Macaca mulatta: one gene and its partner. The main gene of each other region encodes a partner of the protein of the gene in region 2 in a complex. Links are inferred from orthologs where the notes say so. Each region holds a gene or a part of one and is shown on either strand. Other genes may lie near its edges.

The links.
Region 1: the proteins of STAP1 (region 2) and LAT2 are in contact, whole or in part, in a crystal structure (PDB 3MAZ), measured with the Homo sapiens proteins. The link is inferred for Macaca mulatta from reciprocal best matches to the Homo sapiens genes STAP1 and LAT2. Residues at the interface, in NP_001304698.1 of Homo sapiens: Arg184, Arg203, Pro204, Gly205, Ser206, Ser212, Ile215, Gln217, Ile219, Lys225, His226, Tyr227, Lys228, Glu239, Leu240, Glu241, Tyr255, Phe256, Glu259, Thr260, Arg261, Asn263, Leu264; in NP_054865.2 of Homo sapiens: Asn134, Ser135, Tyr136, Glu137, Asn138, Val139, Leu140, Ile141, Lys143.

Annotation. Positions count from the first base shown.
Region 1 is NC_133408.1:51,728,203-51,743,542, reverse strand, and holds the end of LAT2 (linker for activation of T-cells family member 2 precursor), read right to left. Parts: intron 14,836-15,340; coding exon 14,796-14,835; exon of another isoform or gene 14,748-14,795; coding exon of another isoform or gene 14,685-14,747; intron 12,143-14,684; coding exon 12,099-12,142; intron 11,954-12,098; coding exon of another isoform or gene 11,926-11,953; coding exon 11,877-11,925; intron 11,670-11,876; coding exon 11,632-11,669; intron 11,338-11,631; coding exon of another isoform or gene 11,305-11,337; coding exon 11,269-11,304; coding exon of another isoform or gene 11,235-11,268; intron 11,184-11,234; coding exon 11,153-11,183; intron 10,267-11,152; coding exon 10,211-10,266; intron 8,164-10,210; coding exon 8,107-8,163; intron 7,882-8,106; coding exon 7,702-7,881; intron 7,262-7,701; coding exon 7,155-7,261; 3' UTR 7,137-7,154; intron 3,985-7,136; 3' UTR 3,335-3,984; downstream 1-3,334. Other genes in the region: RFC2 (replication factor C subunit 2), read left to right, coding at 452-562. UniProt on the Homo sapiens protein: Involved in FCER1 (high affinity immunoglobulin epsilon receptor)-mediated signaling in mast cells.
Region 2 is NC_133410.1:65,917,586-65,933,481, forward strand, and holds the start of STAP1 (signal-transducing adaptor protein 1), read right to left. Parts: upstream 8,647-15,896; 5' UTR 8,534-8,646; coding exon 8,414-8,533; intron 1-8,413. UniProt on the Homo sapiens protein: In BCR signaling, appears to function as a docking protein acting downstream of TEC and participates in a positive feedback loop by increasing the activity of TEC.

The DNA of each region.
Region 1 (15,340 bases), on a different chromosome or scaffold from region 2:
GATCAGGCTGATCTCAACTCCTGGCCTCGTGATGCACCCACCGTGGCCTCCCAGAGTGCTGGGATTACAGTCACGAGCCACCGCACCCGGCCTTTATTACTGAATTTTTGAGAATTCTTTATAGTCTGGATGCAAGTTCTTTATCAGATATATTAATATTTTCCTCTAGCCTGGCTTTCCGTGCTGCCCCCCCGCCCCGCCCACCCATTTTCTTAACAGTATCTTTGAAAGAACTGTCAGCATCCTTTTAAGAAATAAATTGAACTTTAGGTAAACATAATCTATCGCATCTTAGCATTCATTTTCCGGCTGGAGTTGGAATTCCTCATGCTGATTTTGAACAAACCATTAGTTCAGTTTGTTTCTGTTTTTATTTTTATTTTTTCAGTTCAGATTTTAAAAAAGAACTCCCCCACTTACTAACCAGATTTGAATTTGGTTTGTTTTTCAGGAAATTGGATACACTCACATGAAAATAGCAGAAGGAGTGAACTCCCTTTTGCAGATGGCAGGCCTCCTGGCCAGGCTGTGTCAGAAGACAATGGCCCCGGTGGCCAGTTAGAGCAGAGACTTCGCTGACTGACTTACAGGAGCCCTATCCTGAGGTACAGGAGCTGTGGCTTTCTGATGGGGGAAAATGCCGCCTTAGGCTGGAGCCAGCATGACTGCCGTTTAAACTCCAGTGGCTGGCCAGGCGCGGTGGCTCACACCTGTAGTTCCAGCACTTTGGGAGACCGAGGCAGGTGGATCACCTGAGGTCAGGAGTTCGATACCAGCCTGGCCAACATGGGGAAACACTGTCTCTACTAAAAATATAAAACTTAGCTGGGTGTGGTGGCAGGCACCAGCTACTTGGGAGGCTGTGGCAGGAGAATCGCTTGAACCCAGGAGGTGGAGGTTGCAGTGAGCCAAGATCATACCATTGCACTCCAGCCTGGGTGACAGAGAGAGACTCTGTCTGGGGGGTAAAAAAAATTAAATAAATAAACTCCTGTGGCTTTCATGATTGCTTCTGGGACATCTGTGCCTCACGAGTGTTTGCGTTCAGCCTCCGCCCCACTGATGTGGTACGGGGCGGAAAGGCACAGAGGAGCTGAGGGTGGTCTCTGATCTGTGTGTGGGTTGACATTTTAGCTAATAAAGCCTTGCAGTGTTTGTTGGCAATAAGGTGACCACGTGAAGCCTCGAGGAAAACCAGCTTCCTGTCTCTACTGGCCTTGGCAGCCTACAAGTAGAAAAGGCGATTAGATAGTAGGCCCACAAGCTCATCTCGGTTCTTCTAGAAGCCTGAAGGGGCCACTTCCCCAGGGCGAGGGCAGGGTTTGCTGTCATTTCCTATTTAGACTGACTTCTCAGAATGGCCAGGTGGCGAGCCTCTCAGAGAGGGCCGCAGAGTGGAGAGACGCAGCCCAGCCCTCAGGAAAACACCGTGACGCCCTTCCTGTGTTCTAGACCATACTCTTTGTGCTTGCCTTTGTGCTTGCTTTAGAATTCCCCGGGGAATTTCCTACTAATTTGTAGAATTACCTTTTTTTTTTTTTTTTTTTTGGTAAGATGCTATTTTGTTTCCGTTTTTTTTTATTTATTTTATTTTTAAGATAGGGTCTTGCTCTGTTGCCCAGGCTAGAGTGTAGTGGGCCAATCCTGGCTCACTGCAGCCTCAACCTCCTGGGCTTAAGTGATCCTCCTACCTCAGCCTCCCAAGTAGCTGGGACTACAAGCATGCACCATGATGCCCAGCTAATTTTTAAATTTTTTGTGGAAATGGGGTCTCGCTCTATTGCTGGGACTGATCTCAAACTCCTGTCCTCAAGTGATCCTCCCACCTCAGCCTTCCGAGTAGCTGGGACTACAGGCATGCATCACGATGCTCAGCTAATTTTTAATTTTTTGTAGAAATAGGGTCTTGCTATATTGCTGGGACTGGTCACAAACTCCTGGTCTCAAGTAATCCTCCCACCTCAGCCTCCCAAAGTGCTGGCATTACAGGTGTTAGCCACCATACCCGGCCCGTTTGGGCACAGTGGCTCACGCCTGTAATCCCAGCACTTTGGGAGGCCAAGGCCGGCGGATCACATGAGATCGGGGTTCAAGGCCAGCCTGGCCAACACAGAGAAATCCCGTCTCTACTAAAACATGAAATTACCTGGGCATGGTGGTACATGCCTGTAATCCCAGCTACTCAGGAGGCTGAGGCAGGAGAATTGTTTGAACCCAGGAGGCAGAGATTGTAGTGAGGCAAGATAGTGCCACTGCACTCCAGCCTGGGCGACAGAGCGAGACTCTTATAAAAACAAGGAAGAGAAGCTTGTCCCTGAGGTTGTGCAGGCAGGACTTCAGGGTGTGAAGTAACACGCGGGCAACAGTTGGGTTCTAGACGTTTCTTCGGATTTCCTAACTTGTTGCATTAATTTCTTCTCATGGGAAGAGTCCCTGGGCCATCCCAGAAAGACGGCTGGACTTGGGAACTAAGATCCCATCCGCATGCCTGACGCCCTCAGGGTCCCTTTTTATTAAACAGGAGCTGTGGCCGTCATTCCCTTAAGGTTTTTTGTATTTGGTTATGTTTTTGGAGACAAGGTCTCCCTCTTTCGCCCAGGCTGGAGTGCAGTGGTGCAATCACCGTTCACTGCAACCTTCTGGGTTCAAGTTATTTTCCTTCCTCAGCCTCCCAGGTAGTTGAGACTACAGGCATGCACCACCATGCCCAGCTAATTTTTGTTTGTTTGTTTGTTTGTTTGTTTTTGAGACGGAGTCTCTGTCGCCCAGGCTGGAGTGCAGTGGCGCGATCTCAGCTCACTGCAAGCTCCGCCTACCGGGTTCATGCCATTCTCCTGCCTCAGCCTCCCGAGTAGCTGGGACTACAGGCGCCCACCACCTCGCCCAGCTAGTTTTTTGTATTTTTTAGTAGAAACGGTGTTTCACCGTATTAGCCAGGATGGTCTCGATCTCCTGACCTCGTGATCCACCCATCTCGGCCTCCCAGAAGTGCTGGGATTACAGGCTTGAGCCACCGCGCCCGGCTCCATTTTTGTATTTTTATAAAAGGTTTTTTACCTGAAGCAGGGGAAAGGAGACACAGGATAATCACTGCTTTTCAACTAAAATGGTTTTATTGAGATGTTTTGGTTGGAGGAGATACTTTTTCTGGCAGCATTTCTGACTCAGAAGGTCCCTCTGGGCCCCTGCTCTTCCCATGAGACAGTCATATTACTGTCTAATCAGCTCTGCAGAGGCCAGCCCTGGAGCAGAGGAGGATTCTGGGCCATGGAGGAGACCTACTCTGCCCCGTTCTGGTCACTGCTTCTCTAAACTCTCACGCACTATTGTCCATAGCAAATGACATTTCCACTGAAAGCGCATAAAGATGGCGACAGCCTTATTTCTTCCTTAGTGAACTGAAGCCCAAAGAAAGGGGAGGTCCCACTAAAGGGGAAGAGAGCCAGGGCCCCGCCCAACCAGGATGCTGAAATTAACTACATGTAATGCTTTCTAGGAGACAACACAGAAATCTCTACTCTGAAATCCAGAATATTAAATATGGCTCCCCCTCTATAAGTTAACTGGAGAAGCTTATCAATCCTTTAAGACCCCGGCAACCAACAATAGCAATTAGGAATCCAAATTCATAGCACAAAAGGACACAGATACCAGTGTTGGACAATGGTTTTGGTATGGGGACAGGGCGACAGCTTATCCTAAATCCTACGCATCCATCCATACCAGGAGCCGGGTTACCCTCGGTACCAGGTGCCTGCCCCACAAAGCCTGGGTTGGGAGAGGGCTTGGTGGCAGGGCTGCAGCTCCTGTGGGTAACTGTCCTTTCCCGGGCTGTGCGCGCCTGGCCATGTGGTCCTCAGGGTGGCTGGTTCTCCTTCCAGGAGCAACCATGGCAGGGGCTTAAAAGTTGAGTAGCTCTGGGAAATGGTCCTTGGAAAGCAGCGACAGGTCCATGAGCACAATAGTCCCTCTTCGCCTTGACTCCTTAAATGAAGAGGAAAGTTTGTAGAAGGAGGTTTGCCTTGATCCGTATTTTGTTCCTGAGAACCAGAACCACTGGTTTGGGGCAGCTCACAGCAGCTCAACCTCCTAGACTCAAGCTATCCTCCCACCTCAGCCTCCGAGTAGCTGGGACTACACGTGTGCACCACTACACCTGGCAAATTTTTGTATATTATGTGGAGACAGCGTTTCGCCATGTTGCCCACCCCTGTCTCCACTGCTGCCACCCCTGGCCCAGATGGCACCAGTGCCTGGGTCCTTCCTGGGCTTCCTGTACCCACTCTCCCAGTACCCATTTGTCTGCCCAACAGCCAGAGAAATTGAATTAGAAACATCCAGCCAGTCTTTTGTCCAAAACCTTCCCATTGGCCGGGCGCGGTGGCTTACGCCTGTAATCCCAGCACTTTGGGAGGCTGAGGTGGGCCAATGACCCTGAGGTCAGGAGTTCGAGACCAGCCTGACCAACATGGCGAAACCCCATCTCTACTAAAAAAAAAAAATTAGCCAGGTGTGGTGGCACGTGCCTGTAGTCCAGCTACTCGGGAGGCTGAGGCAGGAGAAACCTGAACCCAGGAAGCAGAGGTTGCAGTGAGCCGAGATCGCACCACTGCACTCCAGCCTGGGTGACAGAGCGAGACTCCTTCTCAAAAAACAAAATAAATACAAAAAAATTAGCCAGGCGTGGTGGCAGATCTCTGTAATCCTAGCTACTCGGGAGGCTGAGGCAGGAGAATCGCTTGAACCCAGGAGGTGGAGGTTGCAGTGAGCTGAGATTGTGCCGTTGCACTCCAGCCTGGGCCACAGGAATGAAAAAAAAAGAAAAAAACAACCTTTCTGTCTCCCTCCCTCCTTCCCATCTCATGCAGTAAAACCCCAAGTGCTGGCCCTGCCTGGTCAGCCTCCCCACCTCCGGCCTCGACCTCCACTAGCTTCCCCTCACCTGCTCCTCCCCACCCCGGCTTTGCTCAGACCTGTGGGGCTCATTCCACCCTGGGGCCTCCGTTGTCCCCTCTGCCTGGATGCCCTTCCCCCAGATGGGGTGAGGAAGGGAGCTCTGAAAGGCTTCTCTAGCCTCCTTCCTTAAATTGCAACACCCCATCGTGCCCACAGCCCCACACTACTTCCTGCCCCGCTTCCCTGTTTTGTTTATCTCTGCCGGACTTACCACCAGTGAACATGCCATGTCTTCTTACCTGTTTTCTTTCTATTTTTTTTTTTTTTTTTTGACAGGGTCTCATTCTGTCATCCTGGCTGGAGTACAGTGGTACCATCATAGCTCACTGTAGCCTTGAACTCCTGGGCTCAAGTGATCCTCCTGCCTCAGCCTCCCAAGTAGCTGGGACTACAGGCACATACCACTATGCCCAGCTAATTTTTAAATTGTTTTGTTTTTTGAGATGGGGTCTTGCTCTGTTGCCCAGGCTTGAGTGCAGTGGCGCGACCACAGCTCACTGCAGCAACCGTGGCTCATTGCAACCTTGACCTCCCAGGCTCAAGTGATCTTCCCACCTCAGCCTCACAAGTCAGTGGGACTCTGGGGCATCCACCACCATGCCTGGCTAATTTTAAAAGTTTTTGTAGAGGCTGGACATAGTGGCGCGTGCCTGTAATCCCAGCTACTTGGAAGGCTGAGGCACGAGAATCACTTGAACCCAGGAGGCAGAGGTTGCAGTGAGCCGAGATCATGCCACTGCACTCCAGCCTGAGTGACAGTGATACTCTGTCTCATTAAAAAAAAAAAAAAAGTTTTTGTAGAAACAGAGGTCTTGCTATGTTGCCCAGGCCGGCCTCAAACTCAGAGGCTCAAAGGATCCTCCCACCTCAGCCTCCCGAAGTGCTAGGATTCATAGGCATGACCACTGTGTCCGGCCCTATCTGTTTTCTCTCTTCCACCAGAACGTAAGATCTAAGGGGTCAGGGGTTTCCTGTTCTTTATGTTGGTGTCCCCAGCACCTAGAGCGGGACTTGCCCATAGCAGGGGCCCAGTGGATACTGGTTGAATGAATGACGTGGGGCTCTGCACACGCGGCTCAAACTCCTGCACCTGCTTCTGGGGCTGAGTCTTGACCGCCCGGGTTCAATGTGGTTTCTACCCTCCAGCCTGTTCACTGAGATGACGGCCTGGGTCTCCCAGGTGGGGGCTCTGGGCGGCCTTCAAGGCCCTCTGGGGATCCATCCTGCTTCCCAAGCGGTAGACCCAGCCTGGGCTTTGATGTCTGATGTCTGACCACTGGGACTTCCATCTCCTCCTCCCCTTACTCCAAGATGTGACCTTGGGCAGGTGGCTTCACTGCTCTGTGGCTTTGGGTGCCAAGAGATGGTACACGTGTGAACACTTAGCATCATTCCATCTCACTGGCTTGCGGTGGCTCCTCAGTGCGTCTCAACCACCGTTACATTTTCCAGTGTCCCCGCCTCCTGTCTGTTTCCAGCAGTGACCAAGTGCCTGCTGGGCTGAGGCTTTGTGTGCGATGTCTGGTCTGTTTTTTTATTTGTTTATTGAGACGGAGTCTCGCTCTGTCGCCCAGGGTGGAGTACAGTGGTGCGATCTCTGCTCACTGCAACCTCCGCCTCCAGGGTTCAAATGATTCTCCTGCCTCAGCCTCCCAAGTAACTGGGACTACAGGCGCCCACCACCATGCCCGGCTCATCTTTTGTGTTTTTAGTAGAGATGAAGTTTCACCATGTTGGCCAGGCTGGTCTCAAACTCCTGACCTTAGGTGATCCGCCTGCCTCGGCCTCCCAAAGTGCTGGGATTACAGGCGTGAGCCACCACGCCCGGCTGTGTGTGGGATGTCTTGTCTGAGAGGGAGGCATCATGTGAGGAACTAATTTCTGGGAGGTTGTCACTTGGTCCAAGGTGGCAGCCAGGAGGATGCAGTGGAGTTGGGAGACCCACCCGGTGCCTAATCCTTTGCCCCCGAAGTCACCAGAATTCCCTGCCTGATGCCCCTGGCCAGAACACAGGAACAGAGTCGCCAAGCTGCCCTCTTGGAGCACCCATGGGTGCATCCTGCAGCCCCCACCATGGCCCCTCCACCCACACTCTCGGCTGTTCCCTTGGATTGGGGGTCCTGCAGCCTGGCAAGACCTCCAGTCCTTGGCCTACAGCAGCTGGAGAGCAGGGGCTGTACCTTTCTTCTTGGTCTGCCCTAGGCTTCTGTGGCCGCCACCTCCCCGTTCACGTAATCCGGTTCCCCGTCCTCCTCCTCGTCTGGGCTTCCCACCGGGCCAGGGGAGGCTTGTCTCTGGAGTTGCCCTGCGGACCAGCGGGCAGACAGGTCATCGAGTGGGTCATGTGGAGACACCCGTAACTATTCCCCCAGACTCAGACCCCAGACTCCACAAAACAGCCTGCGGGAAACGCCATGCCGGACAGGTCCTAGCAGTGTGTGTCTGTCCCGTCTCTGGGATTTGCCGAAGATCGTCCTGCTCTGAGAGCAGGTGAACGTGTTACTCTATGCATGCAGCTGGACGGGGCGGCCTGCCCGGGAGGACCTGACCCCACCCCAGAGGCTGGGTGGCTGCCGAGGGCCGTCCTGTGTGGTTCAAGGTCTCTGCAGCTGCCCCTGCACCCAGGCATCACTGCGGGGTTAGCTGGACTGGCTGGAGGGAAGCCCACTTTCAGCCCGCGCTTCCAGGCCAGTCCCTCAAGCCTGCCCTAAGTGGGCCACCCTGCATCCTCCTCTGGCCACCTACCCATGACCCTCCTGGACTCGCGCCACTGATGGATGGATGCTGAGTTCTGATAATCCTCGGATTCCTCATCTTCTTCCGGGGAGGCAGAGGGACAGAGACCAGAAGTGGGGCCAGTCTTCAGGGCCGGCGACGGGATGTGGTCCCCTCTGCAGAGGCCACCTGTGCCGTCCTGCTGGGCAACTGCAGAGAGGGAGAATAGGCCCCCCTTGGCTCATCCCACAGAGGCACCAGGAGCCAACAGAGCCTCCTCCGAGGATACTAGGGGCAAGGCTCTACCCAAAGGTACCCAGGGATCTGAGAGCCTTCGGTTTCAAAGTGGGGGCGGCCTTTGAGCAGTGGGGAGTGCAGGGGCCAAGGAGGCCTGCTGCTCCCGGCCCCAGCCTGCCCCTGGCTGGGCAACCTCACCTGGCTCTGTGGTTTTCTGCTTGCAAATGAGCACATTCTCATAGGAATTGGCATCATCTGTAGGAGAGAGAGGAGCAGGCACGGGGGTGTGGGCAGGCCCTGCAAGGCCTGGCTCATCCTCCACCTCTGTCCTGCCTTCCCTTTGCAGGGGACCTTTCCTGCCAAGCCCTAGCCCTCTGGGTCCTCTGGGACCTCAAGCCTTCTCCTGGATGAGCTTCCTAATGGGCGCTGGCCTGGTGCCTCTGTAGGCTTTTCCCTGAGCCCTGAGCTCCTTCTCTGTCTTCTTTGTTTCTTGTTGAGATGGTGTCTGCTCTGTCACCCAGGCTGGAGGACATTGGCAAAGTTATAGCTCACTGCAGCCTCCAACTCCTGGCTCAAACGATCCTCCTACCCCTCAGCCTCCTGAGTAGCTGGAACTACAGGCACGTACCACCGTGCCCAGCTAACTTTTAAATTTTTTTGTAGAGAGAGGATCTCGCTGTGTTGCCCAGGCTGATCCCGAGCCCCTAAACTTAGGCCATCTTCCCAAAATGCTGGGATTACAGACGTGAGTCACTGTGTCCAGCCTCCTTCTCTGTCTTCTGAGATCCCCTCCAAATGCACTTGGGAGGAGGTACTCTGGGGGAAGGTTGCAATTCAGGCCCATGATGGGTGGCTGGAGGGAGGGAGGGAGGCAGGGGCAGCCTCAGGGCTCATCTCTAATCAGGAGCTTTCCCTAGAGCCACTGCCGGGAGGGGCTGGACTCTTCCAGACAGGGCGGGGCAGGCTGGGGACGCTTTGCTTGGGGACCCAGGCTGAGTGTGGCACCTCAGCGCCTGGCACCCCATCTTGGTCTTGTAATGGGGAAGCTGGGCTCTGACCGATGCCCCACCCAAAATCCATCAGTGATGTTGGGGTCCTAAGAAATTGAGCAGTGCTGGCCTGGTGGGGTGGCTCACGCCTGTAATCCCAGCACTTTGGGAGGCTGAGGCGAGCGGATCACCTGAGATCAGGAGTTGAAGACCGGCCTGGTCAATACGGTGAAACCCCGTCACTACCAGAAATACAAAAAATGAGCCAGGCGTGGTGGTGGGCGCCTGTAATCCCAGCTACTTGGGAGGCTGATGCAGGAGAATCGCTTGAACCTGGGAGGTGGAGGTTGCAGTGTACCAAGATCGTGCCATTGCACTCAGCCTGGGTGACAGAGCAAGGCTCTGTCTCAAAAAAAAAAAAAAAAAAATGGAGGTGGCAGTGGTGGGGGCAGAAGAGGACCCCCAACACCTACCCAGCATGGTCCAGGCAGGAGCCAGGTCAGGCAGCTGGATTCAAGCCCCGGGCCCATGCACCTCTCAGCAGGCTCCTCCCACCCTGAGTCCTCAGTTGCCCTTTTTTTTTTTTTTTTGGTTTTTTTTTTTTTTTTTGAGATGGAGTCTTGCTGTGTTGCCCAGGCTGGAGTACAACAGCATGATTTTAGCTCACTGCAGCTTCTGCCTCCCAGGTTCAAGCGATTCTCTTGTCTCAGCCTCCTGACTAGCTGAGATTACAGGCATGCACCACCATGCCCGGCTAATTTTTTTTTTTTTTTTTGTATTTTTGTAGAGACTGGGTTTCAGCATGTTGGCCACACTGGTCTTGAACTCCTGACCTCAGGTGATCCACCCACCTTGGCCTCCCAAAGTGCTGGGATTACAGGCGTGAGCTACTGTGCCCAGCCTCTCAGTTGCCCTTTCTATAAAGCAAAGGCATTCAGGGACCAAGGTTCTGGTGGCCTCAGAGCCTGCAGGGATCACTGTCCCGGGTACCTTCTGGGCTCAGGAGGAGATGCTCAGTCCTCGTTGACAAGGACCTGGCCTCCCCCGACCTCCCCGAGCCAGCCCTCTAGTTCCCTGCCCCTGTGACCCACTCCTCTCTCCCACGCCTGTGTCCACAGCTCCCACGCTGACCCACCTGCCCCCTAGCCCTCCTTGGCCCCTGCCTGCAGCACCAGCCTCCTTCAATCCACCCAGCCGGCTTTGCCAGTTCAACTGAACCCAGGCCCAGCGTCCTCTCCTGCTGGAGGTGTGGCTTCTGCCCCGAGCTCCCACTCTACTTCCTCCCCCACCACCGGCTTTGTCCTTCACCTCACCTTCCGGGGGCTTCCGGAACCGCCCCCAGTTGTAATACTCCATGGCAATGGGGTCTCTGGCCAAGAGAACATACACAGCACAGGTTTCAGGGCAGGCTGGAGGTCAAGTTGGGGGGCTCTGTAGGGGGACGGTGAGGCCAGGGCTGCTCCCAGCATTGCTCGTCATGGGGGTCTGCCAGGATCTCCTCTCTGATTCCTCCACCCCCACTTCCTGGGACCCCTGAGCCACCGGGGGGCTGGAGGGCGTGGCCAGCCGCCTGGTTGGAGCCACCTTTTTTCTGTGTGTGTGTTTTGTTTTTTTTTTTGAGGCAGAGTCTCTGTCATCCAGGCTGGAGTGCAATGGCATGATCTCGGCTCACTGCAACCTCAGCCTCCCAGGTTCAAGCGATTCTCCTGCCTCAGCCTCCCAAGTAGCTGGGATTACAGGCACGCACCACCATGCCTGGCTAATTATTTTTAGTAGAGACGGGGTTTCACCATGTTGGCCAGGCTGGTCTTGAACCCCTGGCCTCAGGTGGTCTGCCTGCCTCAGCCTCCCAAAGTCCCGGGATTGCAGGCATGAACCACCGCACCTGTTGAGCCACCTTGCTTTGTGACCTTAGGCCAGTCCCCGTAGTTTGCCCATCTGTGAGACGATGCAACACCCTGGAGGGGTTCTGGGTGTCCTGTAGCTTGTCTTTGACTGGGTGATGCTGAATGAGTCTCCATCCCCCACCCCGACACCCTGTGTCCCAGAGCAGGGCCAAGTCCGGTCCCACAAAGCCAGGGTCACCTGAGAGACAACAGTGTCACCCAATGCCTGCCTGTCAGGAGAAGGAGGGGAACCTGGATGCCTTGTTCTAGTGCAAGAGGGTGGTTCCTGGACCAGGAAGCCCAGGGCTGTGGCAGGCAGGTGGGGCAGGGGGAGAGGTGAGGCAGGGGGACAAGACCAAGGTCACTCACATGTAGCCTTCCTCTGACCCGTGTCTGCTTCCTGCGGGAGGAGGCGAGAATCAGGCCTGAGCCCATGGGCTGTGGCCCCCACTGTGGCCTCCCCCTTTCCCCAGCAGCCCACCTACCTTTGCTGAAGTTCTGGTACCTGCAAGATGCTGGATCTGGAAGAAAGGCCCAGCTCATTGCTCTCTCCCCTGGCCCCTGCTTTCCACCCAGCTCGGCGCTACAGCCCAAGGCAGGGCGAGCTATTTCCCGTGTCTGAGCCTTTGCAGTGCTCCCTGTCCCCTCAGTGGGGCATGTGCAAGTGTGCACCCTCCCCCTGCCAGGCCGATTCCAGGAGCCCGCCCTGCCCCAGCCTGTGTGTCTCTCCTGGGGAGGTCTCGCCTGGCCCCACAGCCCCCACTGCACGACGCCTGGCCCACGGGGTGTTCGCCTGTCTTAGTCCCAGCTTGGCTAGGCCTGTCCCTGTCCCTGCCTGTGCCACTCACCCTCCAGGCCTGGGGAGAATTGCAACAGCTTGTCCTTCCTGCAGGGAGGGGGAAGGAGCGGGTTGAAGGAGGGGCCGTAGCGGAGATGCCCCCCAGGATACATCCCCTATACCCCTGGTGGGGCCTTCATAGCTGAGCCCTGGAGCTCTGGGGCCCAGGGAGGGAGGGAGGTCTTGACCTGGGCTCACCAGGTAGGGACCTACAGGACTTTCCTTCTTATCACTTCCTGGGGGGCTGTGACCTACCTTGTGGGTGCCGTGTCCTCCAGGGGTCCTGGCCATGCCTGCCCGACCACTGCAAAGGGCAAGAAGTGGGGTGTTGGCTGGGCCTCCAGGCTAGCCCAGCCCCCTCACCCCATCATCCCCCCACATCAGGCCTGGCCATGGTCTTACGGCAATGGGGACCGAGAGAACCTGCTAGGGACACCCCCAACCCAGAGCCCAGCCCGGGGGCCCTTGGAGACTCACAGGAGTAGGTCCAGGACCCTGTGAAGCTCTGTTGGTCCTCACGCCTGGAAATGCATGGGCTGTGCTGAGCCTGGGCCTGGCCTCCCACAGTCCAAGGACACAGGGACAGGAGAGAGGGACAGGCAGGGACGAGGAGGGAGAGCAGAGGGACAGACCAGGGTGACAGCGGGGAGGAACCGCTGTCCTTTCAGGCCTCACAGCTCCCCCTGCTACCCCCATTCTCTGGCCCCTCTGTGCACTGGGTGCCCACCCCTCACACAGGGTCCTGGGCTAGAGCCCGGCTCTCAGCCAGACCCATCCCTGACGTGGCCTCAACAGGGCCACATCCTGCCGGGGGGTCCGAGGCCCCTGGAGACGGGTCAGGAGGGATCTGTGGACAGGGCTGAGGCGGCAGCCCTGAGATTCTGGGGCATGAGGGTGAATGAAGGCAGGTGATGAGGAATCCAGCAGTGACTTGGGGTAAAACATTTCAGCCAGGAGTGACAAAGAGGCTGCCTCCCACCTGCTGGTCCCAGGAGTGTTTGCAATTCCTTAAAAAAGCACACGCTCGAGGCCCGGTGCGGTGGCTCACGCCTGTAATCCCAGGGCTTTGGGAGGCCAAGGCAGGTGGATCACCTGAGGTCGGGAGTTCAAGACCAGCCTGACCAACATGGGGAAACCCCGTCTCTACTAAAAATACATAAATTAGCTGGTTATGGTGGCGCATGCCTGCATTCCCAGCTACTCGGGAGGCTGAGACAGGAGAATCACTTGAAGCCAGGAGGTAGAGGTTGCAGTGAGCCAAGATCATTCTACTGCACTCCAGCCAGAACAACAGAGTAAATGTGACTCCATCTCTAAATAAATAAAGAAAGAAATAAGACTATTCCTAGCCTTCCTTGCACCAAAGTGTGGCCATGGATTAAGCTCTGGTCTATGAGATTCAAGCCAAGGTTGTTGATATTTCCAATAAATCTTTTTAAAGGGGGGCACTGGCAACTGGGAGACACCCTTTGTATCCTTGTTCATTCTTTCTTCCTGCTGCTGGGAATGCAGAGATGAGGGCCGGCGCCCCAGCTGCCATCTCGGACCATGAGCTGCTCTTGAAAATGGAAGCCACCATTACAGGTGATGGAGTGGATTGGCTCATTATTAAAGCAGGTTTGGTGGCTCCTCCTCTGAACCAGAATGGGTACCTGGCCCAGCCTTCCAAACTCCTGGAAGACTGGGGCTCAGGGTGACCTGATTTAGGAGAGATACCCTAAATCCACAGGAGAGAGTCAGATGTGGCTTCCTGGGAGAAGCAACAGAGGAACGGAGCCTGTGCTCACAGCAGTCACTTCATGCAGACTGGTGGGACTGAGCCCAACCGAGGTGACAGATGGAGAGGCAGGCAAAGGCATTCCAGGGAGGGGACCGAACAGCTCCCCTTCCACCTCCCACATGGAGACCCTGAGTCTGGCCCTGACCCTCTGTGGCTCTAAGATCAATCGGGGGGCCGGGGGTGGGCAGGTCCTGAGAGAAGAGGGGAGGGGGAAGTGTCCGAGGAGTCAAGGGCGTGGGGGGCATCGGGGGAGGTTGCAGGCAGGCCAGAGAGCCACGTGGCCAGAAAGACCCAGAAAGGTCTAGCCCTGGCCCACATTGAGCAAGGATGGGAAGATTCTATTTTCAAATCTCACTGTGGTTTTTCAGTTGCAAAAGGAAATGAGGAAGGATGTGTGGCGTGCGTGTGTGGGTCATGAGTGGCTGCTCGGGGGTGCACGTGGACCTCCAAGGTCTCCTGGGCCCACAGCAAGTCATTCTCTTAAAGGACACCTGTGGCTACTGCCCATGTACCCAGGCTGTTTTGGGTTTTAGCCCTAGCCTGCAGTGTCGGACCCACTGCCCTTCCCTGGGTCTTTCTCACAGTCCTTCCCTGGTTCCCCAAGGGACTTGCCCACATCCTCCCCAGAGCTCCAGCAGCTTCTCCCAGGGGAGACTCCAACAACGTTCACATTTCACCCTGTGCTGGGGTCTCTGTCTCTTGCATTGCAGGGGGAGAGCGGACTAGCCCTGGGGGATTGGGGTCAAAGGGAGGCTGAAGACACAGGTGCCTGGACTTCTTTTTTTTTTCTTTTCTTTTTTTCTTTTTCTTTTTTTTTTTTTTTTTCTGAGATGGAATCTCGCTTTTTCGCCCAGGCTAGAGTGCAGTGGCACAATCTCAGTTCTCTGCAACCTCCGTCTCCTGGGTTCAAGTGATACTCCTGCCTCAGCCTCCAGAGTAGCTGGGAGTACAGGCACCCACCACCATGCCCGGCTAATTTTTGTATTTTAGTAGAGACAGGGTTTCACCACGTTGGCCAGGCTGGTCTCGAACTCCTGACCTCAGGTGATCCACCTGCCTCGGTCTCCCAAAGTGCTGGGATTACAGGCGTGAACCATCGCGCCTGGCCAGATGCCTGGACTTCTAGAGGGGTTCACAGGAAAACTGAAGAGTGGCTAGCCCCACAGCCCAGGCATCCCCGCCTCTCAAAGCCCTCCACAACCCAAGATGCAGCAGGGCCTGAACAGCCTCCGGGCACTTCCTCTCCCTTCTCTGATGGCTAGGAACCCGCTAGAGCCTGGCACGGAGGAGGTGTGAGTGAAGGGGTGAAGGACGGGGGTGCCAGGAATTCCCTTGGGGACGCCCATGCCCAGGGCACGTGAATACACCAGGCTAGGGACATCGAGGCAACTCACAAACTTCTCTGCTGGTAGATTTTCTCTGACCGCTTTGCACCTGCAAGAACAGGCCAGGATTAGCAAAGGGTCTGGGAGCAGCTGCGAAATGAGGTCAGACACCCCCCGCCATGTCTTGTCTCCCAGCAGGACTCAGACAGGACTTGGGGGCCAAACTGTCAATCATCACCGGCCACCTGACATTAAAGAGTATTTGGGACGGGGTGTGGTAGCTCACTCCTATAATCCCAGCACTTTGGGAGGCCGAGGCAGGAGGATCACCTGAGGTCAGCAGTTCGAGACCAGCCTGGCCAACATGGGAGAAACCCCGTCTCTACTAAAAACACAAAAATTAGCCGGGTGTGGTGGCGGGCACCTGTGGTCCCAGCTACTCAGGGGGCTGAGGCAAGAGAATCGCTTGAACCCGAGAGGCAGAGGTTGCAGTGAGCCGAGATTACGCCACTGCCCTCCAGCCTGGGAGAGCAAGGCTCTGTCTCAAAAAACAAAAACAACAACAACAAAAAAACCTGTATTTGCTCACCCTCTTTTAGAAGAGGAGAGGCGCC
Region 2 (15,896 bases):
GTGTGTTTGGGAGGCAGCAAGCTCAACTCAGCCCCTTCCTGTTCTCTCTCAACTCAGTCTACCAGGAGAGAGGGAGCATACTGCTGTGTTCCCTGCCATGTGGTAAAGGGCCACCAAGAGGTTCAGGCTTGTGGTTCTTAATCTGAGTCAGTGAATTGATGTAGCTCAAGGATATCCAAATCTAGAGTAACATATTAGCACAGCTTTGGCCTTAAATCTAAACTACACGTTGATAATTTGTCAATAATAAAAGTAACTAACTGATCTTCATTTGTGTGATTTCTGTGACTGGCTGGCTTCAAACTTGGGAGAAGAAAAATTCTAATAAAAGAGTATATAAAAAATGGAAAGAGAGGGAAGAGAGCCAGGCGCAGTGGCTCATGCCTATCATCCCAGCACTTTGGGAGGTTGAGGTGGGCAGATCACCTGAGGTCAGGAGTTTGAGGCCAGCCTTGCCAACGTGGTGAAACCCTGTATCTATAAAAATATGAAAATTAGCCGGAGTAGTGGTAGATACCTATAATCCTAGCTACTCGGGAGGCTGAGACAGGAGGCTCTCTTGAACCCAGGAGGTGGAGGTTGCAGTGAGCAGAGATCGTGCCACTGCACTCTAGCCTGGACAACAGAGCAAGACTCTGTCTCGAAAAAAAAAAAAAAAAAAAAAGAATAAAAAAGCAGTTGGGTTTGGGGGAAGAGAAGTGGGTGTGACTGCCTATGGAGCTTCTTTTTGAAATTATGAAAATGTTGTGAAATTAGATACTGGTGGTGGTTGTATAAGTTTGTGAATATATCAAAAGACATTGAATAATAATAATTATTATTGTGTCTCCTATATGAGAGTTCACTTTAAGGGACCAAAAATAGGAGTACCCCATAAACACAACCCCACCTCCTGCTATTGCTCCATAGGGTTGTTAAATAATTGAATGGACTAATAATGTATGTATGTAAAGCACCTAAGACCTGGGACATAGCAAGTATTTAATAAATGTTAGACACTTTTAAAAAAGAAAAGAAAAGTAAAAGAAGAGCATTGCCTCAACACTCACATTATTGGTAAGAACTTTGCTTATTAGTCACATAATACTTCTTCCATGTGGTGCTTTGTATGTGTGGGTGTGATAGCAGTATCTAAAAATTTCTAACACAGGTCTCTTTCAATGACAATATGTATGAGAAGGAGGAAATATTTTGTAAACCAGAATAATGAAACCTGTTGTCATTCCTATGTAAAATCACCCTTTCGTGTTTTCTCAAATAAAGAGATTTAAGAATCCATTGAGAAATCTGGCTTGAGCACTATGATCAGACAGCCGTTCTGTAAAAACCATACGGGAGTGACTAGTTTGTTTCACTCTATTAAAAAATACTTGAACTTTCTCAGATCTGACTTATAATTACATAACAAAACAATTAAAATTTGTCTTGCAAGTTGGTTTGTTTCTTTGCTTATCAGACCAACTCTTTTTAAGGCTTCCCCACCCTGCGTTAATGGTAAACCTCTGCAATGAAAGGAGTAAATCAAGGCTATCCTGTTTTTTGGAGCTAGGAAGCAGGTGAGGAAGAGTGCAGGAGGAGATGGGAATGTAGAGAATGCATATTGTTCTGAGAACTTGATCATCTGTGTAGTTTGTTTGTTTTGAGATGGAGTCTCCTTCTGTCTTCTGTCGCCCAGGGTGGAATGCAGTGGTGTGATTTCGATCTCTGCCCACTGAAACCTCCGCCTCCCAAGTTGAAGCCATTCTCCCACCTCAGCCTCCCAAGTAGCTGGGATTACAGGCACATACCACCATCCCTGGCTAATTTTTGTGTTTTTAATAGAGACAATTTCACCATGTTAGCCAGGCTGGTCTCGAACTCCTGACCTCACATGATCCGCCCGCCTCAGCCTCCCAAAGTGTCATTTGTGTAATTTTACTAAAGTATGGCTTCTAAGGTCTAGTCCACCTCCAGGACTGTATGATTCTTGGAGGAAAAAAATATAAGAGAAAACCCTGAAGTCAAAGCGTACCACTCTGTTCATCTTCCTAATCAGCCTTATAAGTACAGTATTACCCTGCCATAAGGTATAAAAACTAGCATTACTGATAACCAGTAAAGGTTTATTGAATTCCCTCTGTATGTACATGCAGACCTCCATTGTACTACTGAAAAAAATTATAGAGGTGTTCAATCTCAAAAGAACGATATGAATTGGGTAGAGTTAAATAGGGAAAAATGGGAGTTTTATGGGTAAGCAAACATACATAGTTGTGGAAAGGATTAACGATTTATTAAATGGGAGGAAAAACAAGTATAAAAGCACTGAGTTGAAAGCAAAGGCAGCCCTTTAGGAAAAGTAAGGTTACAAATAGCATTAGATTCTGTGACTGCAAACACAGCTGCAAACCTAAGGACAGACCAAACTGGTATTCAGTATGCAGAGACTTACAGGTCACAGTCTTGATTTCATTTCTGATAAGATGTAATAAATACACGTATAAGCTGAGTCATTTATAAATATCAATCTCAATAAAAAACATCTAGGTACCTATTCATATCTAGAGAAATACTTAAAAATTTAAAAAATTAACTTGGAAGGACATGTCTTTGGAATGAAGCACAAACTTCTTTTTTTTAACAATCGTTTTGTGTTAAATTACTGACATAAGAGAAGAGACTAAAATAAGACTTCTGAATTTATCACTAGCTTAACTAGGAAACCTACAATCAAATGGAATTAGAACTTGAGTTTCAGAAGCAGCATAGTCAAGTGCATCACAATCAAATCCAAGCTAGCCTCCTTAATGGAAGAGGAACCTTGAATAAACTCGGTGGCCAGAACTCACTCATTTGTTTATTTGGGGTTGTTTTAGAGAGACAGGGTCTCGCTCTGTTGCTCAGGCTGGGGTGCAGTGGTGCAATCATAGCTCACTGCAGCCTCGAACTCCAGGGCTCAAGTGATCCTACCACTTCAGCCTCCCCAGTATTTGTGAATACAGGGTGTGCCACCACACCTGGCTAATTTTTGATTTTGTAGAAATGGGGTTTTGCTATGTTGCCTAGGCTGATCTCCAACTCCTGGCCTGAAGCAATCCTCCTGCCTTGGCCTTCATAAGTGCTGAGATTACAAGCATGAGCCAGCATGCCCCACCTACTCACTCATTTGTGAAGTGAATAAAATAATTTCTACCCAGAAGAGTTACTGTAAGGATCAGAGTGACAGAACACTAAGAGCCTAGAATGGTATCCATTGTATGTTATACCTCAAAAGGTTGTACTCATTATTATATAGTCCACTTAGTCATTGGAGCAACCTATTCAGCTATGCAAGAGAGTAATTATTCTTTTCAGAAAGGAGGGAATAGATTTAAAAATGTGAAGGAATAGCCCAAATTCTAGAATTGGACTGATACTTTTATCTCTTGCCTCCCCAGTGCTCCTTTCTCATTAATATAACTAGCAAAAATGAATTAACTAGCAAAAATGAATTACAATGCAAGCTCCAGTTAAGTTTCTCTTCCCCTCTCCCCAATAAAAAGCTCTCATTCTTTCTTTTTTTGTGAGCAAATAAAGTACATTTACCTAAGGAAGAACGTTGTACAGTGGTCTCCAAAATGGGATGCATAAATTCCAAAGGTGTGCAAGATGATCCATTGGGAGAGAAAATTTTAGAATATTTAATTATATTTTATGTTTCTTAATTCATTTTTTATATATCTTAATTTACATGGAGTAATAGTATGGGACTATATATGTTTATAATTTCTAAATGAATCAATATTCTTATTTTAAGGATCTGTGCTCAAAATGTTTCCCTGAAAGGAGTGTGTTATTTTAAAATTCGGAGATTACTGCCGTAGAGAACTGTTTGTGAGCACAACTTAGACAGCCCTAAAAAATTTACTTTTTTTTTTTTTCGAGACGGAGTTTCGCTCTGTCACCCAGGCTGGAGTGCAGTGGCACGATCTTGGCTCACTGCAACCTCTGCCTCCCGGGTTCAAGCGATTCTCCTGCCTCAGCCTTCCCAATAGCTGGGATTACAGGCGTGTACCACCACGCCCAGTTAATTTTTGTGTTTTTAGTAGAGACGGAGTTTCACTAAATGAATTAGAGATGAGTAGATTAGAGGAATACGATTTTGATATAGTTATGATGATCCCATGCTTATGTTCAGGTTAATAAGACATATTAAACACACTGTTTTTGTTGTTGTTTTGAGACGAGTCTCGCTCTGTAGTCCAGGCTGGAGTGCAGTGGCGCGATCTCGGCTCACTGCAAGCTCCGCCTCCCAGGTTCACGCCATTCTCCTGCCTCAGCCTCCCCAGCAGCTGGGACTACAGGCTCCCGCCGCCTTGCCCAGCTAATTTTTTTGTATTTTTAGTAGAGATGGGGTTTCACCGTGTTAGCCAGGATGATCTCGGTCTCTTGACCTCGTGATCCGCCCGCCTCAGCCTCCCAAAGTTCTGGGATTACAGGCGTGAGCCACCGCGCCTGGTCAACACACACATATTTTTTTTTTTTTTTTTTTTTTTAATTTTAGCACATCACAGATTGAAGGAATTACGAGACATTGCCCAAACTCTCTATTATTTTCTTTTTCTTTTTTCTTCCTTTCTTTTCTTTCTTTCTTTTTTTTTTTTTTTTAAGACAGAGTCTTGCTCTGTTGCCAGACTGTAGTGCAGTGGTGCCATCTCAGCTCACTGCAACCTCTGCCTCCCGGGTTCAAGTGATTCTTCTTCCTCAGCCTCCCTAGTAGCTGGAACCACAGGCATGTGCCACCACACCCAGCTAATTTTTGTATTTTTAGTAGAGACGGGGTTTCACCATGTTGACCAGGTTGGTCTCGATCTCCTGACCTCGTGATCTGCCCACCTGGGCCTCCCAGAGTGCTGGGATTACAGGCATGAGCCATGGCGCCTGGCCCACCCAAACTCTGTCTTATTTTCAAACGGTCCCATAAAAAATGAGCAATTTTCTCATTTGTAAGAACTGCGAGGCCATTGGTATTCCACTGTGGCATTTAATAGTTTTTATTATCAAATACATCTTCCTGGTTAATCCAGAATCATAGTGATGTGGTTTAAATAAATCTTCCCACATTATCTTTTCCATAAAGATTATGTGTTTTTCATGGGTTCTTGACCTCAGATTTAGAAACCTTCTAGAATTGCATGCAAAATGGTATACGTTGGTACATTTTCCTGGGGAAAAGCTCTTTAAATACTTAAAAGTGCCCCACAAAAAAAAATGGCTAAGAAACACCTCTCAACATTCAATGCCTTTATAGACCAGGTTACTCTTCAGTTATATTTTTTCTAGTTTAAATGTTCTAAATGACTTTGGCAGAGACCCAACTTTACATTCTGCAGAGCCTCTCAACTTCCTCCAGCCAATCAGCTCCGAAGATTACTTGGCTATATACCTGTGGCTCACCTTCTGTTCAAAGATTCCCTGGCACTTTGCTGCCAATTGCTTGGAAATTCCACTTATTTTCCTTAGATTTTTCTCATAGCTACTATTTTCAAGTACTCTAATTATCACCATGCTCACTCTCCTTTGAGCCATATTGTAGACCTCAAACTAATTTTAGCACATGAATAAGAATATGGTAAGTGATGAAAGGGTAAGAGAATGAATCTAACCTTTAGTGTGAGCCAGGTGTTTTACATATGCTATCCCTGAAACCACAACATAAGTAGGCATTATTGTCATCCTCTTGCTCTCTTCTCCCTGACATACAAGTAAAAGGTACTTTGTAGCCTAACTCAGTGGCCCACACCTGTAATTCTAGCACGTTGGGAGGCCAAGGTGGGCAGATTGCTGGAGCCCAGGAGTTTGAGACCAACCTGAACAACATGATGAAACCCTGTCTCTATAAACAATACCAACATTAGCTGGGTATGGTACGCACTTGTAGTCCCAGCTACTCAGGAGGCTGAGGCAGGAGAATCACCAGAGCTGGGGATGTTGAGGCTGCATGACTAGTGATTGCACCACAGCACTCCAGCTTGGGCAACAGAGGAGACACTGCCACACACACACACACACACACACACACACACACACACACAGGTACTTTATTATAAATTCAAATAGAAACAAGTTAATTTCATTGGAAATATTTATGCCTATGGTTATTCATTCTGCTTCAAATAATGCTTTCTAAGAGAAGGTAAAGAGTAGAAATTCAGTAAGGAAGACATCATTCCTACTATATTAAGCCTCTTGAAAATAAAATCTTTGTGTTTTTTTCATATTCTCCAGAAATAAAAGTGATGCTTGGTGCATAGAAGGCACACAATAAATGCTGAGTGAATAAATTGCTTGAACACCTACTGTGTCCCAGAATGTGCCTTAGGAGGCAAGTAGCAAGTAGTGTACTCTCTATCTTATAGTTGAAGAAACAGTCTCAAGGAGATTGAGTAACTTGCACAAGATAACGAGCAGTAAGTGGCAAAACCATCAGATAAAGACACTCTAAAATTCTTATTCTTTCTGCTAACCATACCAATGACATACCTTCTTTAAGCATTTAAAAAAAAACTGCTATCATAAACAGTTATTACAAACACCTTGGAAAACATTCAGTGAACAACCAAATTTAAATTACAAATTAGATTTTTTTTTTTTTTCTCAACTTCCCTTTCCTGGCAAAGTGTGACTATGTGGCTTACCTGTGGTGACAAGATTAAATTTACATTAAAAGCATGTAGGAACAACCTGAAAATATTCTAGTATAACTGAAAGATAATTATTTATGCATGTTTAACATCCATAACAGAATACAAATTACCATGTCTTTACTCTCAAATAGTAAATGATCTGATTATATATGTAAGAAATATGAATATGCTATTACAGATTTTTCTTTTTTTTTTTTTTTTTTTTTTTTTTTTTTTTTTTTTGAGACAGAGTCTCGCTCTGTCGCCCAGGCTGGAGTGCTGTGGCCGGATCTCAGCTCACTGCAAGCTCCGCCTCCCGGGTTCCCGCCATTCTCCTGCCTCAGCCTCCCGAGTAGCTGGGACTACAGGCGCCCGCCACCTCGCCCGGCTAGTTTTTTGTATTTTTTAGTAGAGACGGGGTTTCACCGTGTTAGCCAGGATGGTCTCGATCTCCTGACCTCCTGATCCGCCCGTCTCGGCCTCCCAAAGTGCTGGGATTACAGGCTTGAGCCACCGCGCCCGGCCCAGATTTTTCATATATATAATTTTTCCATAAGTATTCATAAATCCTCAGAAAATATATTTTATCATCATTAAACATTTCTGATGGAATTTCTGAAAACCTTAAAGTTTTTCTAGTTTTAGTCAATATACAATTTCATAAAATTTGACGTAAGTTAATGATTTTTTCTTTAATAACAGGCAATTTTGGGCTCATTTCTCTAATTAATTTCAAGTCATCCATAATTACTATTTTAAAAGTAATGATTTTAACTAACTATAAGTTTTAATTATTACATTCAAAAATACAGAATGCTTCATGGATTTTCTTAGAGCAAAGGTATTTGTGTAGCTTAGTGTACTTAATATCCACAGTAGTACCCCAAAAATTAAAAGCCACTATCTTGAATAGTATTTTAGAACACATAACACTATATAATGTTAAACAGTACGAACTTTGTCATTTTAACAATTTTTACAAAAGCCATTTTTAATAATTTGATCATTATAAACTTCAAATGACTGAGAACAGGAGCAGGTTTAATTTCAATAATGATATTTTATCTTTTTTTTTTTTTTTTTTTTTTTTTTGAGACGGAGTCTTGCTCTGTAGCCCGGGCTGGAGTGCAGTGGCCAGATCTCAGCTCACTGCAAGCTCCGCCTCCCGGGTTTACACCATTCTCCTGCCTCAGCCTCCGGAGTAGCTGGGACTACAGGCGCCCGCCACCTCGCCCGGCCAGTTTTTTTTTTGTATTTTTTTAGTAGAGACGGGGTTTCACCGTGTTAGCCAGGATGGTCTCGATCTCCTGACCTCGTGATCCGCCCGTCTCGGCCTCCCAAAGTGCTGGGATTACAGGCTTGAGCCACCGCGCCCGGCGATATTTTATCTTAATGGTACATCTCATCATTGAAGCATAGCAATAAATTGTGGAGAAAATACAGGAAACATTTTATCTCCCAAGCCAAAGTCTTCTGTGATATTTAAATTCTTTGGAATTCTTTGGAAATTTAGCTTATTGAATTTTTTATATTAGTGCCTTAATATTACAACCTGTGTTATTATACATATTATATATTCATAGACATACAGGTTTAAGCCAGACATTGTATTTAAATTATGAAAAATTGGAATCATTTCTGAGCTCAAAGAAGAGAAGATGATTTAATTTCAACAGAAACAAGGGGGTCTCAACACATCACATCACCATGAAATAAATATTAAATTAAAAGAGAAGTCTTAGGTTTAACATTATCATGTATAGACTCACCTGGTATCCTGACCGCTTGACTAACAAAAAACCTTCAAAGTACAAAGGTAGAGCAGTAATCTTTAACCTTTCCTGGAAGATCCTGCGAGGGGCTGGTTTTGGGGGCTTCTTAGCCATCATACCCCTCTCTTTGGTGTGTGGTTTGGTTTCTCGTCTCAAACAAAATGAAATCCTCCTTGTGTGAGAGGAAAAGGCAACTGTTCAAAGAGGAAGTCCCAAATTGCTTTTTAACCACCAACAGGACACACACACACACACACACACACACACACACACTTTTTTTTCCATTACTTTTTGTGAGGTAAGAAAGAACAGGTGTAATCTGACTTTTAGAGAGCAATCTCTGGGTAATCTACATATGCTTAGATTTAAAGCAGCAAAATAAACAGAAGATTAACATCACCGAAGATGAAAGAAACAGGTGTAGAGATTGTGAACTTTAGGGGAGACATCAAGAACATAGTTATTCTTTCTACCTTTGTTTTTGTTTATTGCTGTCCATTTTTATTTGCAGAAGACATGACTTGAATAAACTCTGCTTCATTAAAAATTGCTTCATAGAATAATTTTATTAGTACTATTTCTGTTGGTTAAATATTTCAGGGCCAAGTTTTGTGTAAATAAAAAAAATAGTTCTATCTCATGCCCATTTGATGCTTCACTAAATATAAACCACAGTTATGGGAACATGGAATATGGAATTTTTTTCTTTTTTCTTTTTTTATTTTTGCCAGTAGGTATTCCAAGTACATGAGTTCACAATGAATATTTAGTACTATGTTTTAAATGTATCCTCCAAAGTTTGTGTGTTAGAAACTTAATCCCCAATGCAACAGTGTTTAGAAATAGGACCTTTAGAAGGGGATTAAGTCATGAGGCATCTGCCCTCAAGAATGAATTAATGAATTAATGCTGTGGGAGTGGGTTTCTTTCTCTTTTTTCAGAGGCAGGGTCTTGCTGTGTTGCCCAGGCTGGAATACACTGATGCAATCACAGCTCACTGCAGTCTTGACCTCTCAGGCTCAAACAATCCTCACATATCAGCCTCCCAAGTAGCTGGGACTACAGGGCAAGTGCCACCACTCCTAGCTAACTTTTTCATTTTTTGTATAGACAGTATCTCCCTATGTTGCCCAGGTTGGTCTCGAACTCTTGGGCTCAAGCGATTCTCCTGCTGTGACCTCCCAAAGTGCTGGGATTACAGGTGTGAGCCATTGCATCTGGCCTGGAAGTGGGTTTTTTATAAAATCAAGTTTGGCACTTTCTGGCATGCTATCACCCTCTCTTGCTCTTCTATCTTCTGCCATGGAATGATGCCGCGTGAAGGTCCTCATCAGATGTTGGCTTCCAGCTTCCGGAACCATGAGCCAAATACATTTCTGTTCATTATAATTTACCAGTCTGTGGGTATTCTGTTACAGCAACACAAAGGAGTCTAAGATATTTGGCAAACAATATCTGGCAGAGAAAGCTGTAAGTTTTCAAACTTTTATTTTGTTCTTTGTGCTTTCTGAGCTGCAGACCATTGATTCATGGATGGAGTTCATGAATACTATTGATACTATGATTCATGGATGGAGTTCCCACAGTTATCTAGTGAGATTTATAAAGCTATACTGGGGCCAAAGTGCACTCAATGGTTGCATGTAGGAAATGGCCCTTAAGAGATTGGATTTGCCCTAGCACAGTGCAGGAAATGATGGGAGAAAAGAATATTAGAAGGAATTTTGATTTGTCTTACAGGGGTCCTAAGAATTTCTACCATTGCCTATTTCACACTCAGTATTTCAGAACTACTCTAGATTTAGAACAGCCTGGGCCCAGTGAGACCAGCCTATTATTAGAAATCAGAGCAAGCCAGGAGTCTTCAGTCTGATTCTCCTTTCCTAATGGAGAGACTGCATGATTTTCTCCACCAGTGTGGGTCCCACTGATCCTGCAGTGGGATATGAGATGCCAAATTGTCTACAAAGTAAGGTAGAACAATACAGACTGATTATCAGTAAGTTAGAGGAGAGTGTTCAGATGTATTATCAAAATGAAAACAGCTAGAGACAGACATAGAGAGTTGAAGATCCAAAATTACTGCTTTGCTTTTATAAGTTTAGACCTGCTTCTTGCTACCCAACCTTCAAATAATAAAATATAAGTCCAACTTAATTTTTTGAGACAAAAACCATAACTATTTTTTAGTTTCAGTATACTAAGAAAGTGACTTGAGTAACGGGAAAACCTCCTGATTGAATATATGACCTAATCCACTTTCTTGGCAGCTGTTAGTTGTTGTAATACAGGGGGGAAGTGAAAGGAAGGATTAAGAATTGAAAAATGAAAAGAAGCAGCAAGGATAGAGAAAGATAGAATGCTGGGGATCATCAGTGATTAGATACTGACTTTATGGCCAGAAAGTTTCATAGGCAAGAGAAAATAATACCTCTAGAAAAATGTAAAGAGGAGTTTTTGTTGTTGTTGTCAAATAAACACTTGGTTATGTTTTTTTGCCTTTAAAAAAATAAGCAACAATTTAAAAACAGCTAATCAGATGCAGTAAGTTACTTTGGTCTACTGATTTATGCATCAAATTCATTTTTAATATACCAAGAATCTCCCTAAAAAAGACTACAAAATGCAAAAATCTTTCTTAAACAATATTAACCAGTTAGTCTTGTCTGCAATTACTAGTATCATTGTACCACTGCACCATTACAATGGAAATCCTCTTACAGATATCTCAAGTCTTAGGCAGTGAATAATAAATTTGTAGGTAAGGAAATACAGTAGAAAATATGTTTGGACATAGGGCTGAAGCTAATTTTGCTACTAATTGACTCTTGAGACCTTGAACAAACCACTTGACTTCTCTGGTATCATAGCTTCCTCACCCATACAATGAGGCGATGGACTACATGACTTATTGTCTGAAGAGCTGCAAAAGGCTTTTAAGTGGTCTCCTAGTTTCCACTCTTTTTCTTCTCCAATTCATTTAAAATTCAGCCTAATCAAGATACTCCCCTACTGAAAAGACTTTAATGGATTTTCATTGCTTTTGAGATTTCTTTTTAAAATTTTTTCATTGAACATTGAATATTTATTGAATACCAACAATGGGCTCAAGCATGGCACACTGGTCCTTCATAGCAGGGCCCTTTTAAATAATAACTCCTCAAAATACCCTTTGCTCTGGTAATTTCATTTATTTTCAGTTGCCTGAATACCCTATGATCTTCCCTATCACCTCATACCTTTTCAGTCACTGTACTCTGCTTAGATGCCCCTCCTTCCCTTTGTTTATATGGTAATGTCCTACTCATCCTTCAAGACCCAGGCTGAATCTATCCTTAATTCTGAAGATTTCCTAATTTCCTGAATCTTTCTTCACCCTCCCCCCAGACACAAAAAAAGGTTATTACTCTCATTTCTGCTTTCCCAACACAGTTTGTATGATTTCTTTTTTATAGCATTTGTCCTGTTGTAGCTATTTGTATACATTCAGATCAACAAGAAACAGTTTTTCCAAGGGAAAGATTGTGTTGAAGTAGGGGTTGGTTATAGGTAGATTGCAATATCATTTATTTACTGAATAGCTTCCAGATAAAAAATATGATTCTAGTTTGGAGAATTATTAGCTTCCATTGTGACAGGAGTTTCCTTTTTTCTGATATATGTGACTATTGGTTGACATATGATTCTTGTGTTGCCTTGTAGAATAATCATGTTACTATTAAACTATTGGAGCCCAATATTACAGCCATCGGTAGCATCTGTGTCACAGAACATTGTTATAAATCAGGTTTTATGGCAAATATAACTTAACGACTTTGGGTAAAGTATAACAGTTAACTCATATAAACCAAAATGTCAGTGATCTATTGAGTCCTCTATGTTATAATGTCATTTGAGTAAAAATCCACATTTTTTTACAATAATTGAGGATCTCTAAAATACTTTTCTATCCATTTATTAGTACTGAATCAATCAAGTCTGAATAGGAGGCTCCAACTCTGCTCTAGTATTTCCACATTTCTGACCTTTGTTTTACTTAATATTTATTGATGATTTATTGCCATATGCATTATAATTTGTGTTAGTATATTTCGAAGATATTTTAATTGCATGCATTTATTTTTATAACTCATACCTGAAGAATACAGCTTTAATTTTAACCACTGCATGAAATGCTTATAGCTTATCAATGGCTGGTGTGAATCCAATACCATCTTTATTATGAGTAAATTTTTTATTACTATTGATAGAATTAAGCCACATTTTCTTTTTCTTTTCTTTTCTTTTTTTGAGACTGAGTCTTGCTCTGTCGCCCAGGCTGGAGTGCAGTGGCACGATCTCAGCTCATTGCCACCTCTGCCCCCCGGATTCACACCATTCTCCTGCCTCAGCTCCTGAGTAGCTGGGACTACAGGTGCTCACCACCACACCTGGCTAATTTTTTGTATTTTTAGTAGATACGAGGTTTCACCATGTTGGTCAGGCAGGCTAGTCTCGAACTCCTGACCTTAAATGATCCATCTGCCTTGGCCTCCCAAAGCGCTGGGATTTATAGGCATTAGCCACCACACCCAGACAAGCAGCATTTTCAGTGGAGAAAATGCACATTGTACTACCACAACTCCAGAGATTATCAGACATACAATATGGAGTTTCCTACTCCTTTGCCTGAGATATAGTGAGCCATTGTTACTCAGAAAATGTTTCCCTTAAGTCTTTTGAAACAGAAAAAAAAGGTGGGCAATCATTGTTACAGAAGTGATATTAGTAGCTCTGTCAGAACAGTTTAATTTGCTAACCCTTATAATTTTCAGTGCAAAGAGTTGCAACTGGGATGATAAGAGCCTTTCCTAGTTATGTATTTTCAAACTACTTTTGTAGTGGAAAATATCACTTTTATTACTGAGAAGTAGTTTTTGGATGCCAGGTAAATACAGGACACTGGTTTTCATACTAGGTAACTCACAGAATAATGGTAACTTTAATGGAAACTAGAAATTCAGAGTGGGGAGATAGTTTGGGGGGTAGAGGGATAATGAATTCAGTTTTAACCATTTCAAACTCAATGTATACAAAGGTTAAGTCTATGTTTTCTCTTTTATTTCTCATCCTTCATGGCTTCCTTAGGGAATAAGGTGGATTGGTGCTTACCATCATTCCAAACCCTTCTAGTGTGCTTTTCTTTATTGCAGAGGCTAAAAAGATAAAATCTACATTTCTCAGACTTCTTTGCAGCTAAGATTGAAAAGCATTCAACATGATTGACAAGGCAGAAAGGAGGCAGTGTTCATTGTTATGCTGCCTTTGTTTTTGTTTGTTTGTTTGTTTTTTAAACTCCATTGAGAGGGAGTCTGGCTATGTTGCCCAGGCTGGTCTTAAACTCCTGGGCTTAAGTGATTGTCCCACCTCAGCCTTCTGAGTAGCTGGAATTAACAGATGTGAGCTACTGCACCAGGCAACCTTTGGTTTTCTAACCAATAAAAAGGCATGTGTGGCCTGTAGGCATCTAACTTTCCTGTGGCAATGTTATCAGAAGTCCCAATGTCTGATCACTAACTTCATGGGTCAAGTCATTGATAGTAAAGTCACAGACATCAGTTGGCTGGTGCATATCATCATATCATTTTAGGTAAGGTGTGACTCTGGAGCCAGAAGCAGTAAGGAGGCTTTCTGCTCATGAGAGGATTCTTTTTTTTTTTTTTTTTTTGAGACAAAGTCTAGCTGTGTCCTGCAGGCTGGAGTGCAGTGGCACCATCTTGGCTCACTGTAACCTCTGCCTCCTGAGTTCGAGTCTCATGCCTCAGCCACCTGAGTGGCTGGGATTATAGTGTGCCACCACTACTGTATAAGTATAGAACAAGCTACCATTATTCTGTGAGTTACCTAGTATGAAAACCAGTGTCCTGTATTTACCTGGCATCCAAAAACTACTTCTCAGTAACAGAAGTGATATTTTCCACTACAGAAATAGTTTGAAGATACATAACTAGGAAAGGCTCTTATCATCCCAGATACAACTCTTTGTATTGAAAATTATAAGGGTTAGCAAATTAAACTGTTCTGACAGAGCTACTAATATCACTTCTGTAACAATGATTGCCTTGCTAATTTTTGTATTTTTAGTAGAGATGAGGTTTCACCATATTGGCCAGGCTGGTCTCCAACTCCTGGACTCAAGAAATTTGCCTATCTCAGCCTCCCAAAGTGCTGGAATTAAACATGAGTCGCCATACCCGGACTCATTGGATAATTCTTATTTGTGGTGACTGATAGAGCAGGAATACCATCATCTCAAACACTGCCACTTTAAGTTCCAGCTCCCTTTCTAGCCTCATGCATTTCAAGGAAATCACTTCTCTTCTAACTACAAGCAGCCAGGAAGAGCAGACAGTAAAGCAGATAAGACAGCTTGGGCACAGAGGGAGGTGGGGGCAAAGTCTCTTGGGTAACTGCCAGACTTCACCCTCATACAATAGGCCCAGTAAAACAGTGGGCCTTAATAAGCACATTCCTTTCCCTTCAGGTGCACTAAGATAGGGAAGCTAAAAGCAGACTCCGGGGAGTATACCTGCAGTACAGAAAGATGTATGGGAAGACACACACATCTTCCTCCCAGATAATCACAGCAAAGAGACAGAAGCAGTACAAGCCTCTGATAAACTCTCCCACCCTGAATCCTTCAAAACCCTTAGTCTGTAAGAGAGTGTGCCTCTGACCTAACTTGGCCAGAAGCCCTCTTGGGTTTTCTCTAAAATAAACCTGTCTTTGACTGTCAAGTCACTTTTTGTGTTTCTTTCCTCTTTCTTTAATTCTTACAGTGATTTCCATGACATGGCAGCTTTGTAATTGTGGTGGCTTCCTGATTGCATGATGTCAGTATGATCTTGGAGACATAAGCATGAATGTCAGCTTCTCAATTTTTCTATTTGTTTTATGACTGTAGAAACATCAGCTGCCTCTTAATGGCTTAGTTCTTTAATGTGCATTTGGGAATTATTCCTGAAAATCCAAAATACATGGTTTCTTCATCCTCTCAAGAATTTTATGAGCTGTTAAATGCAGGTAGCAGATCCCTTTTTGCCAAAACTAGCCATCACAAATTGTCTTTTTTTTTTTTTTTTTGAGATGGACTCTCACTCTGTTGCCTTGTCTAGAGTGCAGTGGTGCAATCTCGGTTCACTGCAGCCTCCGTCTCCCAGGTTCAGGTGATTCTTCCGCCTCAGCCTCCCGAATAACTGGAATTACAGGCATGTGCCACTACGCCTGGCTAATTGTTTTTGTGTTTTTAGTAGAGACGGGGTTTCTCCACGTTGGTCAGGCTGGTCTCAAACTCCCGACATCAGGTGATCTGCCCGTCTCGGCCTCCCAAAGTGCTGGAATTACAGGCGTGAGCCACCGCGCCTGGCTACAAATTTTCTTCTATGTAATTGAACCCTGATGACCACAGTTCCCCATAGTCTATAGGATAAGTGAAAAGTTA